2 linked regions of the Caenorhabditis elegans genome follow. The protein of the gene in region 1 purifies or fractionates together with the protein of each later gene. This does not show direct contact. Each region holds a gene or a part of one and is shown on either strand. Other genes may lie near its edges. The genes, in order: B0310.2 and gldc-1.

What was found.
Region 2: the proteins of B0310.2 (region 1) and gldc-1 fractionate together in Caenorhabditis elegans (co-fractionation; one large-scale study listed by BioGRID). This does not show direct contact.

What each region holds. Positions count from the first base shown.
Region 1 is NC_003284.9:499,818-509,401, reverse strand, and holds B0310.2 (Putative zinc finger protein B0310.2), read left to right. Parts: upstream 1-2,458; 5' UTR 2,459-2,468; coding exon 2,469-2,626; intron 2,627-3,218; coding exon 3,219-3,291; intron 3,292-3,426; coding exon 3,427-3,615; intron 3,616-3,850; coding exon 3,851-4,110; intron 4,111-4,283; exon of another isoform or gene 4,284-4,394; intron 4,395-5,415; exon of another isoform or gene 5,416-5,483; intron 5,484-6,094; coding exon 6,095-6,315; intron 6,316-6,370; coding exon 6,371-6,500; intron 6,501-6,905; coding exon 6,906-7,116; 3' UTR 7,117-7,455; downstream 7,456-9,584.
Region 2 is NC_003280.10:6,047,735-6,056,443, forward strand, and holds gldc-1 (Glycine cleavage system P protein), read left to right. Parts: upstream 1-2,685; 5' UTR 2,686-2,705; coding exon 2,706-2,861; intron 2,862-3,256; coding exon 3,257-3,547; intron 3,548-3,594; coding exon 3,595-4,121; intron 4,122-4,190; coding exon 4,191-4,393; intron 4,394-4,439; coding exon 4,440-4,672; intron 4,673-4,725; coding exon 4,726-4,953; intron 4,954-5,000; coding exon 5,001-5,219; intron 5,220-5,266; coding exon 5,267-5,655; intron 5,656-5,698; coding exon 5,699-5,931; intron 5,932-5,977; coding exon 5,978-6,145; intron 6,146-6,200; coding exon 6,201-6,493; 3' UTR 6,494-6,573; downstream 6,574-8,709. Other genes in the region: R12C12.6 (Transmembrane protein 9), read right to left, coding at 1-133; ran-5 (RanBD1 domain-containing protein), read left to right, coding at 377-443, 493-605, 655-810, 859-993, 1,041-1,155, 1,202-1,293, 1,343-1,687; R12C12.7 (Zf-AD domain-containing protein), read right to left, coding at 7,421-7,586, 7,634-7,757, 7,809-7,886, 7,930-8,064, 8,116-8,251.

The sequences.
Region 1 (9,584 bases):
AAAATAATTTTAAATTGTCAACATTGAAGTTAAATTTGATTACTTTTAAACTTGAATTTAAAAAAAAAATATATATATATATATAAAAATATCGAGGTCCGCGATAGACACATGTGCTTCTCAAGAAAGTCGGGGACCGCGCTCTAGGTGCGGTTCACGCCTGGTTTGAATATAATTGACAAACAAAAAAATAGTTGTATTTCTCTCTGTAAATAAGTGAACTTATGAAAATAATTTGCTTAAAATATGCCCAAGGGTTCGGAATATTTTGAATGTATAAACCTAAAATGTGATTAGATAAATATCAGATAGATAAGACTTTTATTATGGCAAGAAGAGACTTCAGAAAAATAATTCAAATGCTTATTGCGGTTCAAAATTGTGATAAAATTAGCTTTATTTCATCTCAAATATTTTTTCCGTGACACAGCTTTTAGGAACTACCATTTTTAGAACTATCACCGTTTATTGCACATTGTGGTTTTTTAAAATCCTATGTTGTTGATTGAGATACATTCAAAGCCGATAGGTAGCCAAAAATCACTCAAAAAGCAAAATTTGATATATGATATTTTAGCTAAAATTAGCTACTAAAAAAATATCTGCAAAACCCAATAAAAATTGTTGAAAATATTTTTAAGAAGTCACATATGTAGTTAATTCAAGCATACTCAGCGTCTATATTTTCAAAATACTCAAATCCATTAGTAATCCTTTAAGTTCAATCAATATATTTTTATTAATTTTATATAATTTTCATTGCTTCCTTAATACCACTAAAACTAGCATTTTCCAAAATTGGTACTGCAAAGTTACCCTAAAAAATGTAAATTCATAACATTAGTGACCAGTTATAAAAATTTTGAAATTCATGCTATTTCCTAACCCCATGCCGAGATCACTGATTTTTGAAACAATCGTTTTACATCTAGATCCACACAGAAAAAAGTCCACCTACCATACCAAAACTATCTTATCACCGTATTGTCAAAAATAGCAAGGTTCCTTTGTTCTCTTGATGATGAGTTGATTGGTGCTCACTGGTTGCGATTAGATATATTTTTTTCATCGGTTTTCAACATTTTGTGTGACTCTATCGATAACGTAACATCGAGATAATTGGTGACTCATTCAAGTAATTGAAATTGTTATGATAAATTTTCAACATCTTTTTTTGATATTGAGCGTCAATATTGGAAAAAAATTTGAAGACTTTAACTTAATAAAAGCCCTTTTCTTCAAAATTCTAAGTAGCCCTACCCATTCATTCCGCCAAACGGAAAAAAAGTTCGAACCCAATAAGTTCCATTTTAATCACATCATCATTTGTCTCCTCATTGAATTAGAAACTATTCCTCTTCTGAATATCACTATTAACCCCTTTTCTCATTACCATCTTCTGTAGTATATCTCTAATCGTTTTGTGAGGGCAGGAGAGAGAGAGAGAGGACACCGCCCATTTCCCGATATGCTCTGTAACAGCGTCCGTACATGGGAAGTGCGCGATTGCCAGGATCACCACTTTTTATGGCCCGTTGTCTTCCTGGTTGGCTCTTTGCAATATGCAACCGTACTTGCTTTGGTGTGACGTTTTTTTTTCGAGTTGTGATGTTACTATTCATGTTTCTACTATTATGAATTTTATTGGTAATTATCCTCTAATTTTTTGAACATATTGAGTCTAAATGTGTTCGAATATTTCAGAATGATGAAATATTAGTAGAATTTGGAAAATTTTGTTGCAAATTTCAAGCTTAGCATTGCACTTCAGTTTGTTATTGTGTTAATTAAAAAAACTATTCTGACAATCAGAGCAATAATTTCATTCTGCTTTCTGATTTTTTGTTTCTTCTTTAAAAAAATCCCAAATTCCAACTTAAAAAAATTGTTTGAAAAATTTGCACACAGTATCTATTTGAGCTGTGCATCAATTAGTACGACACTCGAAATGATAAATTAAAAACAGGCAAAACAGCCAATTATGCTAAAAAAAACGTTTTTCAAATCAAAACTTAAATTCAACTATAGAAGCTGTAACTGAATTTGGCCCTAACCCTGAACTGACGCGAGAACCGTAACACCTTTTTGTATCTCAATCATAAATTGACGAGGAGGAATATCTCAACCGCGATTTCGCAGATCCTTATCAGAACAGATTGTACAAAATCACTCTTGTTGTAACTCCTCAAGAGTGTGTGTGTGTGTGGACAAATGACAGGGGGGGGGGGGGCGAGAGAAAAGGAAACGGTCGTCGTCTTCTTTTTCGTCCTCCTCCTATTTCCTTCTCCTCCTCACAGTTATCATTTACACGCCTACTTTTGCCCTCTCCCCTCCTCCCCCGTTTCTGCTTCCCTTTTTCATCGTCTTTTTCTACTCCATATTCTTATTTTGATTTTCCTCGTTATTGAAATTTTATAGTCTGTCACCTTTTTTCTCAACGATTGTTCTTTTTTTTGAGGTCAACAACGATGGAAAAGTCACAACCCCTCTCGGAATTTTTTTCAAAGCAGTTGGTGGATCCAGTTTCTGATGCTTTGAGGAGCCACACGTGTTCAGAGCAGGAGATGACATTGTTAGAGTCAGCAATCGTGCACGCTCGGGATTCACTACTCGAGGAGATTCAAAGGTTAGATTTCAGCTTTTGAAGAGAAACTTTGGAGGTGCTTTCATGTCCTAAATAAGGTTTAAAACGTTATTTTTATCCAAACGTAAAAATTATACAGGTACCGTATTTCCTCTATCAGCCCTGCAAGCAATACTATTTCTAAATTGATCCGTATTGGTTCACAACTAATAGAAATCGCAAGAGGCTGCAAGACTAATTTTCGACACTGCTTTGAAAAAATAGTAAATTTTGGACACAAATAGTTCAATTCTGAGTATTACATACTTTTCATCAATTCCGTTAAATCTTTTGAAATTTTAAAGTGTTTTCTAGGAGTCCCCTAAAACACGCCCAGTCTCGCAACGGCTTGCTCCAAAACAATTAGAGGCTGGTAGGGCTGTTAGACTAATGAGGGTGAAAGTTTACTAGAGGCTGCAAGACTATTAAATGAAATACAAAATTCAAGTTTTTTGAAGTTTAAAAATCTGACCAAAGCCACAATACAATTCACGTTCAGCTTGTAGAGGCTCACAAATCGTGCACAAATGGGATAGGCAGTAAAAATTATACTGGCTAGATACCAAACGTCCAGAACAGTTTTTTTTTCTTTCAGATCCAAGATCTCCGAAGATGTCACCCAAACTGTTGATTGCCTACTAAGCAGAGTGGACGAACTGCTGGAAGAGGTTAGTTCAATTTTTGTTTTGAAATATTCTACAACTAATTACCATAATTACCTTTCCGCCATCTTGATAACCATCACACTTTCCTTTGCATTCTTGTATTTCCTCACCTCAATTATCCTGTCAAAAACGTTTCAGACCCGAAACTTCGCACCAATCTCCCCACTCTCCTCTGAAGCACCAGATATTTTGCCAGCAATGATTTTGTTCAACTCACTTTGCTCTTCAAAGTCGTTAGACTTGGAGCCTATTGAAATCAAAGTAGAGGCGATGGAAAATCCCGTTGTGTCACCGCCAATTTTTTCCTCAGATGATTCCGTGAAAGGGGTGAGGCAGTTTCCGTTTAGTGTATTTCAGTGTATTTGAGATTCCCACACATTTCCCCCTATTTTTCAAATCGCATTTCTTCGATCACATTCTTCTCCGCCTTTCCATAACTCTCTACCACTTTTTTAACTGGGCAAACACAGCATAATTTGAAATGATTCTATACTTTCTATTTCACATTTTTCTTTTCATTTTTTGCTATCATATTATTTTTATTTTATTCCATTTTTTTCAGATGCCATCTCGTAAGCGAGCCAAGCGAAGTTTGGAGGATACCGTTCAAATGTTGTCCAAAGAGAATTCAGTGTCCCCTCCACCACCTTCACTTCCATTTGTCCTACCGCAGATCCCAGTTCCCATTCCATTTTCAAACGCAGCATTAATGCAGCGATGGCTAGGGCACCCATTGACAAACCCTGCATACTTGAACGCAATGTTTCAACATCAACCTGCTCCAAAACCGTCAGAAGAGCAATTTGCTGCTTTAATGAAAATGTAAGTTTTACTTCTTTGTCAAATTTTTTTGTCTGTCAACCCTTGTTCAACTGTATCAGTAGGCGCCTCCCGGCTGACGCATTCCTACCTTTTGTTTATTTCACACAAAACAAATGAGAGACAATTGAAACGGGTATGGATGTTGCTGCTCGTTGTGAAAGTTTGAGAAGATAGCGGAGGGGGAGGAGTATAATAGGAAAACTACAGTAACCGCCCGTCCCCGGAGAAAGAGAGACAGAGTAAAGGAGGTAACTTGCCCCCGGACCGCATTCTCGAGAGAAGGAGTGACGACGGTGATGATGAGCGTAAACAAATGTAGGTGATAATAAATCAACTGGTAACTGGTCTGATCATCTTAAATGGATGGCAACCATAATTTTGTTGCAGCCAGAAAAGCAATTGATTTGGCATCCGGGACATCAGAAAGAGGAAGATAGTTAGCCCGAACAAAAAAAGCAATTTACAATGGTTCACTTTTTGTTGTTCTTGTCACTTCAGATAAGAAAACTGGATGACCTTATTCATTTCAAAATTGAATAAATCTCCTCGAAAACCACCTAGAAATTAATCAACACTTCAACGCGACCAACACCTTGATTGATCGTGATGAATGTCACCCTTATCTTGATCAAAATCGGAGTAAGTGAGGGAAATCTCCACTTCTCAATTTGAGTGTCATGTCTCAATCAGCACTATAACTTTTGAGGCATTCGAATTTTAAAAAACTGAACAATAATTTTCCGGAAACCCCGTTAGAATGGCCTTGTAAGAATAGCGGGGTAGGCAATCGCATAAATAGCTCAACACCAATTTCGACTAATTCGATGTGAGAACTTCACTAGTCGGCGCCCTTTGGAGTAGGTTATATCGTGTAGACAAGTGTAGATTACCATCTGGAAAACCTCTTTGCTTCTTCCTTTCCACTTATTTGTTAAAAATCAAAAATTAGGGAATCAGTGAAGAGGATTGATGTGTTGCGGAACAGAGAAAGAGAGAGAGAGAGACACGTCGAGATTGAGGGCGGTTACTGTAGAGGGTATGGACACAACAACTTGCCGCAATTGAGAAACACTAGATGCAATGGAGAGAAAAAGAAGGAGGTAATTCATTCGTCGTCAAGATTGATTACCAATTGAGTATGGAGGAAATGAGACTGAGAGGAACACTGATAAGGATGAAGACGAGCGAGAGATATATGTATAACGAAGTGGGAGAAACAATTTAAATTCAAATATTTATGGGGAAAGTGGATTCTGTTAATGAGGGCAATCCGAGGAATGAGAGTGACTGATAGATAGATTCGGTTGAAGATGATCATATATATATATATATATATATATATATATATATATATATATATATATATATAATGTAACTTATTTCTCAACCATTAAGAAGAACTAATGAAGATCCCCTTCAATCTGAGCTACATCCCAGTATACATGGACCTAGGGCTAGCCAAAATCAAGTCACACCTTCTAATAAGTCATCTTCACATCGTCATGTTAGTTTGAAATACATATGGGGGCAGGATAGCTTAGTCGGTAAAGGTAACCACTCACAATCTGGATGTCACGAGTTCAAGACCGGCCTCACCACCAGTCTCTATTTGAAAATGGAGCAATCCACGCCTGGATTATGGGCCACAGTCCTCAGCTAGGACGTGGCTTAAGTAAGTAGCCCAGCGGACGAACCGCCAGGCAGTGTACCTGACTCCCAGATCCGCAGTGCATAGTGCTTGAAGACGGGGTCGTCTTTTAATCCTTAATTTTAGTCATAATAATTTATGATTGTGCTTTAAAAAAAACGTAATTAGGGTTTTCCATTTACTAGTGATTTGGATGCACACTTAGTCGTTATGAGGATCTGTATATAACAATATTTCTCTACTAAATCTCTGTAACTTTTGATTGCGAGAAGAGAAATGCTCGAAATTCTAATGTTCATCAACAGTTTCTATCCATAAACAAATTTTTGTTTTCAGAACCATGCACGCCGCCAACTTTATGAAAACCGTGCCACAACTGCCAGTTTCAAATCACTTCACAGAATCTGATGCAGAAGATATAAAAATTGACGTGGAAAGTGACGAGGGAGAGATTGAAGTGTCACCATCACCATCAACTGGTGATATCACTGAAAATGAGTCGTCATCGTCTTCAACCGGACCAATGATATCACCGAACTGTGGAGATGGAGACTGTGGTGAGTTGCTTTCTTATACTTTTTTTAAAATCTCTATTAACCTTCAACTTTTCAGCCCTGGAGAAACCGTTCATATGCATGCACAACAATTGCGGCAAACGGTTCGCCAACAAGTTCCTCCTTAAAAAGCACATGTTCATTCATACCGGCCTCCGTCCACACACATGTCCACACTGCCACAAAAAGTGAGTAACTTGCCCAGTCTATGCTTCCCTTTTTGTCTTTTCAAACAAAGCGCAACATAATATTGTCATGTGAGGAATGAGACTGGCGTCCTTGGCACGTCGAATTTGACCCAAGTGATAATGAGAAGCAATTTGTAAAGTAGTTATGGTGATAGGAAGAATGATTGGTTGAAGAATGATAAGAGTTCAAGGAATTTCTAGGAATGATGGCATCTTACTTTGAAAACTATTACCTTCCTTTGACAGCTTGGTTTTACTTGTTTTAAATGTTAGAAAACGAGTTTACAAAATTAGGTTAAAAATTAGGTTAGGTAACAAAAATTAGGTAAAAAATAAGGCTTTTCAAATATAAAATGAAAAAATGGAAACCCTAAAAATGGAAACGAATTACATGTATATTTTCAGATTCAACAGGAAAGACAACCTGCTACGTCATAAGAAGACCCATTCACCGACGAGTGCTCATTTGGGGCCAATTCTACCCAAAAACCCCTTCCACGGGATTCCACAGCTTCCGGTCCTTCATAATATTGCCCTCACACAAGGCTTCAGTCATTTCCATGCTCTGAAAATGTCTCTGGAAACTGGTGCTACAGCAGTGCGTAGTCTTTCCTAACTGACAACTTTTACACTATGTTTTGTGCTACTTATGTTTCAGCTGCTCACTTTTGTCATCTTACTTTCCCCCTCTTTCCTTTATTAACCATATCTATCAAGTCTGTGATTTAAAATTCAAAGATTCAAGCTGTGTTATGTATATTATTTCCTTTCATATTTTCTTTTCCAAACTGGGTATCAGTATGACTAATGTGCAACCAATTATTTTCCCATGCACTGCACTTTCCTTTACCACTCAATGCTTTAATTCTTCTAAAATCTGGAATTTTTATTTTTTATTCCTGATGTTTTTTTTATGGTTAAGATTTGATGTCAGCAATAAAATTGAATTTAACGTATTTTTTCAAGATAGAAAAACGGGGAAAACTATTCCTTTTCCTTTATTTGAGCTTCCAAGTGTCAAAGAAAAAAATTTGTAGTTAACGGCAGAGGAACATTTTTGAACTAAGAAAAAGTTCCTATCCATCTTAAGAAGTTCAAAAAGTTATTGAAAACCAATAAAAAAATTTTCCATTTATAATAGAAAGTCACAATTATTGAGTTTTCGGCAGTTTTTAAGAAAACTAATGCACTGTCGCATGTTCAAAACTTTACAAACTTTTAATATTAATATTTTAAACATAAGTAGAAAATAAAATCAGAAGGTATCGATTTCAAAAAAAATGGCGTGGCCTAAAACAATGTTCCCAAAGACGCTACTTTACCATTGAGCTCTATTGAAAAAACTTTCATTCTAAATTGTTCAGTTGAAAAGTACCTGAAGAGCTTTCTTTTATTAATTTCAAACCACACTTAAGTTATCATGGATCTACAAAAATCCACCCTACTCGAAGGCAACCTTGAAATCATTAAAACCTAAAAATTAGATTTTTGTAGCTATTAAACGGTGTTCAAAAGTTAAAATCAAATACCTTATTTCCTCTATTCGTATTGCACCCGACTACTTAACTTTGAAACGGTATATCTCGGCTCATTTTAAAGATATCAATATATCATAAACAACAAATTAGTAGAAAAATAACTAACAAATATTTTGTCAGTTGACAATACTTGAATAGGACAAACGATAACTGAAATATAAGCTGTCAAAGTTGAACAATTGGGTGCAATATTAATAGAGGAAATACGGTAACTATTTTAATAATAGGTTCATAGTGTAATAGTTTACCTTATGTCCCATCAGTAATTGAAAAAATATTTGAAAAATGATCTGTCAAAGTTGAATTGGGTATACTGATAATGTATTTTTTCAGCTTTAAGTGGGAATCATTTTGAAATTGTTTTGAAAGTAAATGTTTGCTAACATAAAATAATGATAAAAATACAATTTATAATAAAATTTAATATACATAGAAACTCTTGAAAACTTTTAGAAATACTTGTTATGTAAAAATAATTTCAAGTTTTTGTGGGAAAGAGTTCAAAAGTTTTTAAAAGTTTTTAGTTCCTGTTTTCTTAAGTTCACAATGATCATACGCTATTGAATATTTTGACATCGATTAAAAATCTTACATAGACGATATGAGTTCCAAGCCATGAGCCCAGGGATAACCTCAAATACGGCTGCTGGAAACTACCAGATAGGTAGACTTACATTGAATATTATTTACACTCAGTAGGTTTCATTGAGTTCTTTTGAAGCCTTGCAGGCAGGCACGTTTTAATGTTTGTATAGCATTACTTTATTAATTTTTGTCTGCTTTGGCAAATGTCCAAAAAACGGACACAGTATGTGTTACTCGTTCATTCTTTGGCCTGCAAAAATAACCAGTTCACCCGTACACACTCATTCACTCATCATTATCTCTCATTTCTTTCGGACACTAGAAAAACGGTTGGCAAGAAGGAGAGAATGAAAGAAACAACCGATTGTTGATAAGTCTCTTTTTGTTACTGTTACAAGTTGATATGTTGTGTCGTGAAGACGATAGAGAATATGAAAAGAAAATAGCACCGCAGTTAGTAAGTAATTTTCAACGGGTTACAATTGAGAAATCAAAAATCTCAGAACGAAAATGTGTGAAATTGATAAGAAAATATAAGATGGGCAAGGGCTTCAGCTACTCAAATTTTTTTGAAAAAATAAAGCAACTTAAAATTTCACTATGAATTTTTGTTTTTGAAATATATAGATTTAAAATGTGCTCAAATCAATGAATTTTATGAATCAAACTTTTGAAGCCGATAGGTTACCAAATTTCGAAATCTATCGGCTTAAAAAATACCTGAGTAGTCAAAATAACATGATATAAATAGCCAAAATATGCAATTTTAACCAACTCAAAAAACATCAACATCCGAACGCCACGATGCGTAAGAGTGACCAAACTTGAGGTTGTAGCTAGAAGCTTCTTTTTAAATATTCCTAACAGGCTGAAACTATCTGTTGAAAAAAAAACATATATAGCAATAAATTTCATAAGCCTGTTCAAACCATGGACTCAATTCTCAAAACGGCAATCATCC
Region 2 (8,709 bases), on another chromosome or scaffold:
AAATTACGGAAGTTGGACTGTATTTTTTTTTATTTTTGCAAGAAAATAAAAAATGCTCTGAAAAATAGAATACAAGTAAAACAAGAAGTGCGCCAGTGCAACTTACTGGCGCTTTTCGCGATGGCTGACGCATTCTTCGTTTCACTTTTATGATGTTCACAACGAAAATCGAAGAAATAAAAACTTGCACTTATTTTTGTCTTAAATTTCAATTTTTCTTCTGCTTGTTGAGTAATTTTTCAGTTCTCAGTCTAAATTACTTGCTAATTATCTTCATTTCAGTCTGCATGAATACTAATAATCGATTTTTCGCATTTTTTTTGCAATTTCTATCCGGTATTTGTCTTTTTTAATTCATTCGTTACTATTTTCAGTCATGTCAAAAGGTTTTGCTTTCAAACCGTCTGCTTTAGCTGCCAAGGCAGATAAACTGTGGTCAGATAGTAAGTTTTCAATTTTGTGTTATGTTATCTAAGTCACGTGAATTTGCAGGCAAAACAGAATACACAGCAACTCATTCAACAATCAACCACGTTCATTTGGAAAAGAAATCGCTGGGCGATATTATTCCGAAATCAGCAGATGCGCCTGTTGCAAATGAAAAAGTTCGTTGAAACACAATGAGTCAAAAAATTCGTTTTCTTCTAATTATAGGAAGTCGAAGAGGCTCCACAAGCATTTGTTTTTGGCTCCAAAATATCAGATCGTGTTGTGAACAAAGAAGGTGATTCAACAAAGCCGGGTGGTTCAGACGAAAAGACCATGACAGCAACTGAGCTCTTCCAAAATGCAGTTAAAAAAGATGACGATGTAATCTATATTTCGAATCAATATTTCTATTCATAATGTTAATTTCAGAAAAATGGAGCCAAAAACTTCAGAAAGGAAGCTGAACAAGAAGCGGAGAGAGCAAAGGAAGCCGAAAAGCAGCATGCCGGAACGAGTTCAGTCGAAATCACCACCGGGGAAGAGAACGATACTAATATTTTCCAAGTGAGGCAGTATTCATTAAAACATAATTTTTATTTATTTGTCTTTAGGCTCCTTGCAAAATTTGGGCGTTTGATAAATTGAAAAATGCCTACTCTGAAAAGGGTGTCTGCAATCTCAGGATCAACAAACGAGTCGAGAACGGACTGACGCACCACCGAATTGGTAAATACTGATAGTTAGAGTTTATTGTATTCAAAATTATTTTCAGTGGCAAGAACATCTTCCGGTACTCTTCGTGTCATCATAAATTCCAAAATTTTCTCTGATATGCTTTTGGAGCGGGTCGACAAGAGAATTCGAGTGAGCTTTAATGTTATATGAATATATGTTTTATTGTTACTGTTTACAGATTTCCGCAATGGGACCAGAGATCAGCGGTGTTCAGATTTTCCTTCTAAAAATCGGATTCACCAAAACTGAGACGATCCCCGATTCGGATATATTCTACAATATTATGAGCGACCTGCTGAAATTGGAGAAGGGAGAGAATAGTCGGAAGAGGAAAGCGGATTGTGATCTGAACGCTTCAACTGTTAAAATCAAGGATGGAAAGGAAGAAGAAGAAGGTGATCAAGATCAAGTTGATGAAGGATTTGTCATTGTAAACAAGCCAACAGAAGATGAGGTGAAAGAAGAAAAACCAGCTGTTACAGCTGCCGAAGAATCTGCATCCAGCTCAACTCCTTCCGAATAACCATATCAGTCATTGCTTCTTTCAACTTCCCCTGTGCTCTTTTTTCTCCTTCCAATCCCCACAAAAATGGTCTCCAACTTTCACCCAACTCAAATCATTTCCCCTTAAGTCTAATTTCTTTATTGCTAAAAATTTCTTCTAGATTTCTACCAATCTGGCCTAACTTTCCAATTTCGTTTTATTCTTATATATCCCGTTTTATGTGTTTGTCGAATATATTTGGTTTGTGAAAAAGAGAAGAGTTTGCAATAAAAAGCAGAAATACAATCAAGAAGACACTTAGACAATGGCGTTTCGGTTATCAGTGGCGCTCTTACTGAAGGAGGAGGAGAGCGAGATAACGATCGTTGTGGGGTGATCGATTCAGAATTCAATTGGCAACACCATGATCATTTATCACCTTGTCAATTCTGTAGCATTGTTTCAGTAGGAGAAGATTTTTTTGTAGTTAAATATCAATTTTGAGTATAACAAACGCGATTTTTGCACCTAAAATACGGTAGCCGGTCTCGTCACGACAATTTTTAATACTTAAAAAAAAATTGTATCAATTTATTTATAAACTCTAAAATAACACCGAAACACTTCAATTTTTATAAATCTAGAGGAAAAATCGATTCCGCATCAATGAGAGTTTGAAGTTACAGTACTCCTTAAAGGTGCACACACCTTCTTGCATTTAATAAAAAGTTGTCGCGTTGAGACCCGGTACCGGTTTTTTGGCGTCTTTGTAATAAACCCCTTTGAATTTAGTTTTGAAGTTTAAACTTTGAAGTTCAAAGTTTGAAATTATCCCATAATATCTAACCACGCGTCGGGCGTTTAATATCATAAAATCAAAAGTCGAATTTTTTTTATCTTATCAACAATTGGAGTACACGTGTACCCACGATATTTCTCGATTTGTACTATTTTAAATATTTTTTCTCGGAATAAATTCTCTTTGCCTGCCATTTCTACATTCTTGTTTCATTTCATTTTACTACTCGTGAATCTAGAACCTTCACTCATCTCCAAAATGGTTCTCCTTGGACGAGGATTACTTGCCGTCGGGCGTGTTGCTTTTCGACGTCCGATGATTGTACGACACCTTCAATATGATGCTTTTGTTGATAGACATATTGGACCAAGACGATTGGAGCAGCAACAAATGCTCGATTTTATTGGATACAAAGTTCGTGGCTTGATTTTCCATTACTAATGGTATACACAGTTATTACGCAGCTGCAGAAGTTTACGATTTTTTACGCTGACATACGGTCTCGTCACGATCGGAAGTTTTTCTACCGTATCCGCGAGTATTTCGCAATTTTATAATGATCCGAATATTTTCAGGTTTTTGATTGAAAACACGTTAAAATCGAGCAAAACTTTAATTACTTCAGAAAAACTTTGCTAAATACTTTTTGATACGGTAGCTAAAAAGTTTCGACCATGTCGAGACCGGGGACCATATGTCCCGCAAAAATAATTTGCGATGTTGGCATTGTATCTCCTATTTTGTTTAATGCATTTTCTGAAGTTAGAAACGCCTGAGAATTCTGTCTCATAATAACCTTGAAATTACAGGATCTAGATGATCTCACCGGAACCAATGTGCCAAATATGATCAAAGCAGAGAAGGCTCTAGAGCTTCCAGCACCACTTGACGAATACAAGATGCTCAAAGAGTTGGAAGCAATTGCAGCACAGAACAAGATTTATAGATCTTATATTGGAATGGGATATTATGATACAATTGTGCCAGCTGTCATTTCTCGTAATATCCTTCAAAATATTGGATGGATCTCCCAGTATACTCCATACCAAGCAGAAATCTCACAGGGAAGACTTGAGTCTCTTTTAAACTTCCAGACTATGGTAAGGCATGGTTTGATGCCTATGAGTCTAATATATTATGTTTGAAGATTGCTGAAATGACTGGTCTCCCAACAACCAATGCATCTCTTTTGGATGAAGCCACAGCTTCTGCAGAAGCAGTTGCACTGGCTGCTAGAACTACAAAGAGAAACAAAATTGTCGTTGACTCATTCTGTCATCCACAAAATCTTGATGTAATCAGAACTCGTAGTGGACCACTTGGAATAGATATTGAAGTTTCTGATTCAATTGAAGGATATGCGTTTGATGATAAAGTAGCTGCTGTAGTTGTTCAATATCCGAATACTGAAGGAAGAATTCATCAATTCGACGAGTTGATCGAAAGTGCTCACAAGAATAAGTCATTGGTGATAATGGTGTGCGACTTGCTCTCGTTAACGATTCTCCGATCACCAGGAGATCTTGGTGCAGATATTGCTGTTGGATCGGCTCAACGATTTGGAGTTCCATTGGGTTATGGAGGACCACACGCTGGATTTATGGCTGTCGCTAAGCATGATGCGAAGAATGCATTGGGAAGAAATATTCCAGGAAGAATCATTGGAGTTACTAAGTAAGTGGTAACCAATTTCTGGGATCAACCTATCACCAAGACTTCACATTTAAACTTTTCTTTTTTCAGGGATGCAAATGGAAATCGTGCTCTTCGCCTGGCTCTTCAAACCCGTGAGCAACACATTCGTCGTGATAAGGCAACCAGTAACATTTGTACTGCTCAAGCTCTTCTTGCTAATATGTCAGCTATGTACGCAGTCTATCATGGTCCACAAAGACTCACTGAAATTGCCAGAGGAGTTCACAAATCAACTGCATATCTTGCTTACCGTAAGTTACTATGTAAGTTACTATATTCATTAAATCTTTAATTTAGATCTTCGAAATGCTGGTCACGAAATTGTACACAAGGACTACTTTGATACTTTGAAAATCCGTCTGAAGGATAAAGCCGCTCTTGAAGAAACGAAAAAGAGAGCCGAGGAAATGAAGATGAACTTCCGTTATTATGAAGATGGAGATATCGGAGTTTCATTGGATGAGACTGTTAAATCTGAAGATCTTATGGATATCATCTACACATTGAATGGAGCCACAGAAAAGGATGTGGTTAGTTTTTGACTCGAGATGTAGAAGAAAGACTATCACATTTATATGTTTAGACCAAGCTTCGTGAAGAACGTTGGGAAGTTGCATGCCCATTAATTGGAAACTCACCACATTCTAGATCATCACTATTCCTTCAACATCCGGTATTTAATACTCATCAGAGTGAACAACAGCTTGTTCGATATATGAAACGATTGGAAAATAAGGATGTTTCTCTTGTTCATTCGATGATTCCTCTTGGCAGCTGTACCATGAAGCTTAACGCATCTGCTGAACTTATTGTTTGTTACTTTACATGTTGGCCTTGAAATTTATAACTATCATTAAGCCTATCACCTGGCCAACTCTATCATCTATTCATCCATTTGCTCCTGTAGAGCAGGCCAAGGGATATAGTCGTATCTTTGGAGATCTTGAGAAGTGGCTTTGTGAAATCACTGGATACGATAACTTCAGCTTGCAACCAAACTCTGGAGCCAATGGAGAATATGCTGGACTTCTTGCCATTCGGAATTATTTGATTCACAAGGGAGAGGAGCAGAGAAATGTAAGAAGAAATAAAAAGTTTGTTAAAAACTTTCAGTATTATTTTAGATTTGTCTCATTCCAACGTCTGCACATGGAACTAATCCAGCATCTGCTCAAATGGCTAATATGAAGGTTGTTGTCGTGGACTCAGATCATCACGGAAACATCAACTACAAGGATCTGGCAGCTAAAGCTGAGAAGTACTCAAATCAATTGGCAGCTATTATGGTCACTTATCCATCGACTCATGGAGTATTTGAGTCATCGATTCGTGATGTTTGTGACAAAGTTCATGAGCATGGTGGACAAGTTTATCTTGATGGAGCCAATATGAATGCTCAAGTTGGATTGTGTCGTCCAGGAGACTACGGGAGTGATGTGTCGCATTTGAACCTTCACAAGACATTCTGTATTCCACACGGAGGAGGTGGTCCAGGTGTTGGACCAATTGGAGTGTAAGTTTGAAAAAATGTGAAAATTTGCAATGTTTTATTATAGTAAAAAACATCTTGCTCCATTCCTTCCTGGTCATTCAGTTGTGCCAGTTGATGGACGTAAAGTTGGATCAGTTGCTTCTGCTCCGTATGGTTCAGCAAGTATTCTTGCAATTACATGGGCTTACATTCGTATGATGGGGCCAGTTGGTCTTCGTGAAGCATCTCAAGTAGCAATTCTCAATGCTAATTATATGGCTAAACGACTCGAAAATGACTACCGTATCGTTTACAAAGGTAAGTTGGCTCGTAGTTTGGTAGATGCATCCTCCCTGGTTTTCAGATGAACAGGGTCTTGTAGCTCACGAGTTTATTATGGATTGTAAGCCATTCAAGAAGCACGGAATTGAGGTTGTTGATATTGCGAAAAGATTGATGGATTATGGTTTCCATTCACCAACGATGTCGTGGCCTGTGCACGATTGTCTCATGATTGAGCCCACCGAATCAGGTAAGGTTTACTTTGTTCTGAAAAAATATATAAAATAACACAATTCAATTTTCAGAAGACAAAGCTGAAATGGATCGTCTCGTAGAAGCTCTTCTCTCAATTCGTGAGGAAATTCGTCAAGTTGAAAACGGAAGTCTCGATAAACATCTGAATCCATTGAAAATGGCTCCACATACTCTGGAAAAGGTGACCTCGGACAACTGGAATATGCCATACTCCCGTGAATTGGCTGCATTCCCGAAGCCTTGGTGTACCCATAAAGCATGGCCAACTGTCGGAAGAGTCGATGATCAATATGGAGACAGAAATCTTGTGTGCACATGCCCCCCAATTGAATCATATCAGTAATAGTCGTTTTAGATTAAGTTTTTAATTGTCGGGTCCAATTTCTCTGGTTTTCATTATATTCGAAAATAAAGGAATTTACTAAATACATTTGCACAATGACATATAAACATTAGAAAGATTAGTGCAAAAAGACTACTCAGGCAACTCAAATCTAATCTGAAAATATTAAATAGCAATCTTTTTGTAGTAAAAACGAGAAATAGTGCGTCCATATAAGATTACTAAAAATTTCGAATAGATTTCAATTTTGTCTCAAAAGATTACAATTTGATCTCAAAATATTGCGAAAGTGTGAAAATTTCTAGGTAGACTTCGGTTTTATCTCAAAAGATTACTAATTTGTCTCAAAAGACTGCGAGCTCGTCTCCGAAGATTGAGATTTCATCTCCGAAGATTGAGATTTCGTCTCAGAATATTGCGATTTTGTCTCAAAATATTGCGAGTTTGTCTCTAAATATTAAAAATGCATTCATCGACTATTCTAGAACTATTTTGTGATAACTCGAAGAACTTTTGTTGCCATTGAGGGGAGTTGAACTTGTCCGTCGCTTGTCGTTGAGTCTATGAACCATTATCTTACCTGATGAGCCATCCTGTACGTGTCGCATCTAGATTTAGTTATTGCTTAAGTAAATAGTTAATGGGCGCACGTCCTTTTCGTTACTTTTGATGGGAAATCAGTGACTTTTCGCAAATTTTCAAAGTGTCAGAGCGAAATTGGATAACTTTCTTTGAAAGTGAATGTGGAACAACGATTTATTTGTTATGCTTTTAAAAATGTTAGAATTGCAATTTTTCCGATTTTTTGTCAAAGAGAGAATAACATTTTATTTTTTCAATATTTTTTTTCACTAACAATTTGATTAAAATGATGAGTATACTGGGAACATGCTTGCTGTTGACAATATTTTATGATTTCAATTGAAATCAGAAAATCTCAAACGATAATGTAGATGAAGTCGTTTCCCCTCGAGCAACCTTCACATGAGTTTCACGAATAGTTTGTCCGTACGCTCGAAGAAATGATTGAATTTTCTCGTGCAAGTTCATAAAAGTTATTTTACACTTCTTCGGTGCTTTTTTGCATTTACATCTGCAAAAAGAAAATAAATATCGCCACAATTAAATTTTAAGTCCCACTTTTCCAAGTCCTCAGCACAAACTGCACACGCTTCAATTGTCTTCAGATGGCTTTCACCAAGCAACAATTTTTTCATGCTTTCTTCATTTTCAATACATTCAATGTCGAAATAGAGACAAACAGCTGAAAAACGCGGATTATTTACTCAGTTTGCAATAAATTGAAATGGATTACCAGCTTTTGAGTGAGTTGTAGTAAGTAAGAAATGCATTCTCCGAAGATCGACATCGGAGAGAAATCGCCACAGTGAATCTGAAAATAATGTTTACTCAAGTTCTTACAATAAATTCAATACCTCTAACATTCATTTCTACATTTTCGGATTCGAAAATCTCGTCTTCCTCTTCTGTTTCTTCTGTTTCTTTTGAATCATCATAAGATTCCTCTTCATCTTCGTATTCTGTAGAATCCGACTCCGATTGGAGGTTTTCTGCAATTATCGTTCGTTAGAAATGCCACCTACAAAATGTGTTTTCTTCACCTTGCTCATGTTCCATCTCTATTCTAACAACAGAAATTTCGCCCATTCCCGGTCCATTTTTTGAGTTCTTGTTGATTTTCTGAGCAAGTTCGGTCAGAATATCTCTTGTGAACGGTCGGATTCTTTGACGTTTCATCTAAAAAAAAATCATTTATAAAATTTTAAAAATATTCAAAATATTCAGATAAAAAAATACATTTTAACTTTGAACACAACAGAATTGTAGAAAAAACAATTCAATAATTCGTTGAAAAAGAAACGCGCAAGCCTTTGCGCGTTTCTCGTTCTGCGCGTTTTCAGTGTGTAATCTGTATGGACTACAAAAATATTGCTATTTCATCTCAAAATATTGCGAATTTTTCGTAATATTTTGAGATTCAGGAAGATTGCGAATCAACCTCAAAATATTGCGAAATATTCTCAAAAGATTGCTCAATCTAAAAATATTTCGAATGAGTCTCGGGATATTGCGATTTTATCTCGAAATATCACCCAACTACAAAAAGATTGCTATTTAATATTTTCAGATTAGATTTGAGTTGCCTGAGATAGTGCCCATTCATCGCTCCATGGTCTCAAATCCTCCTTCCATAA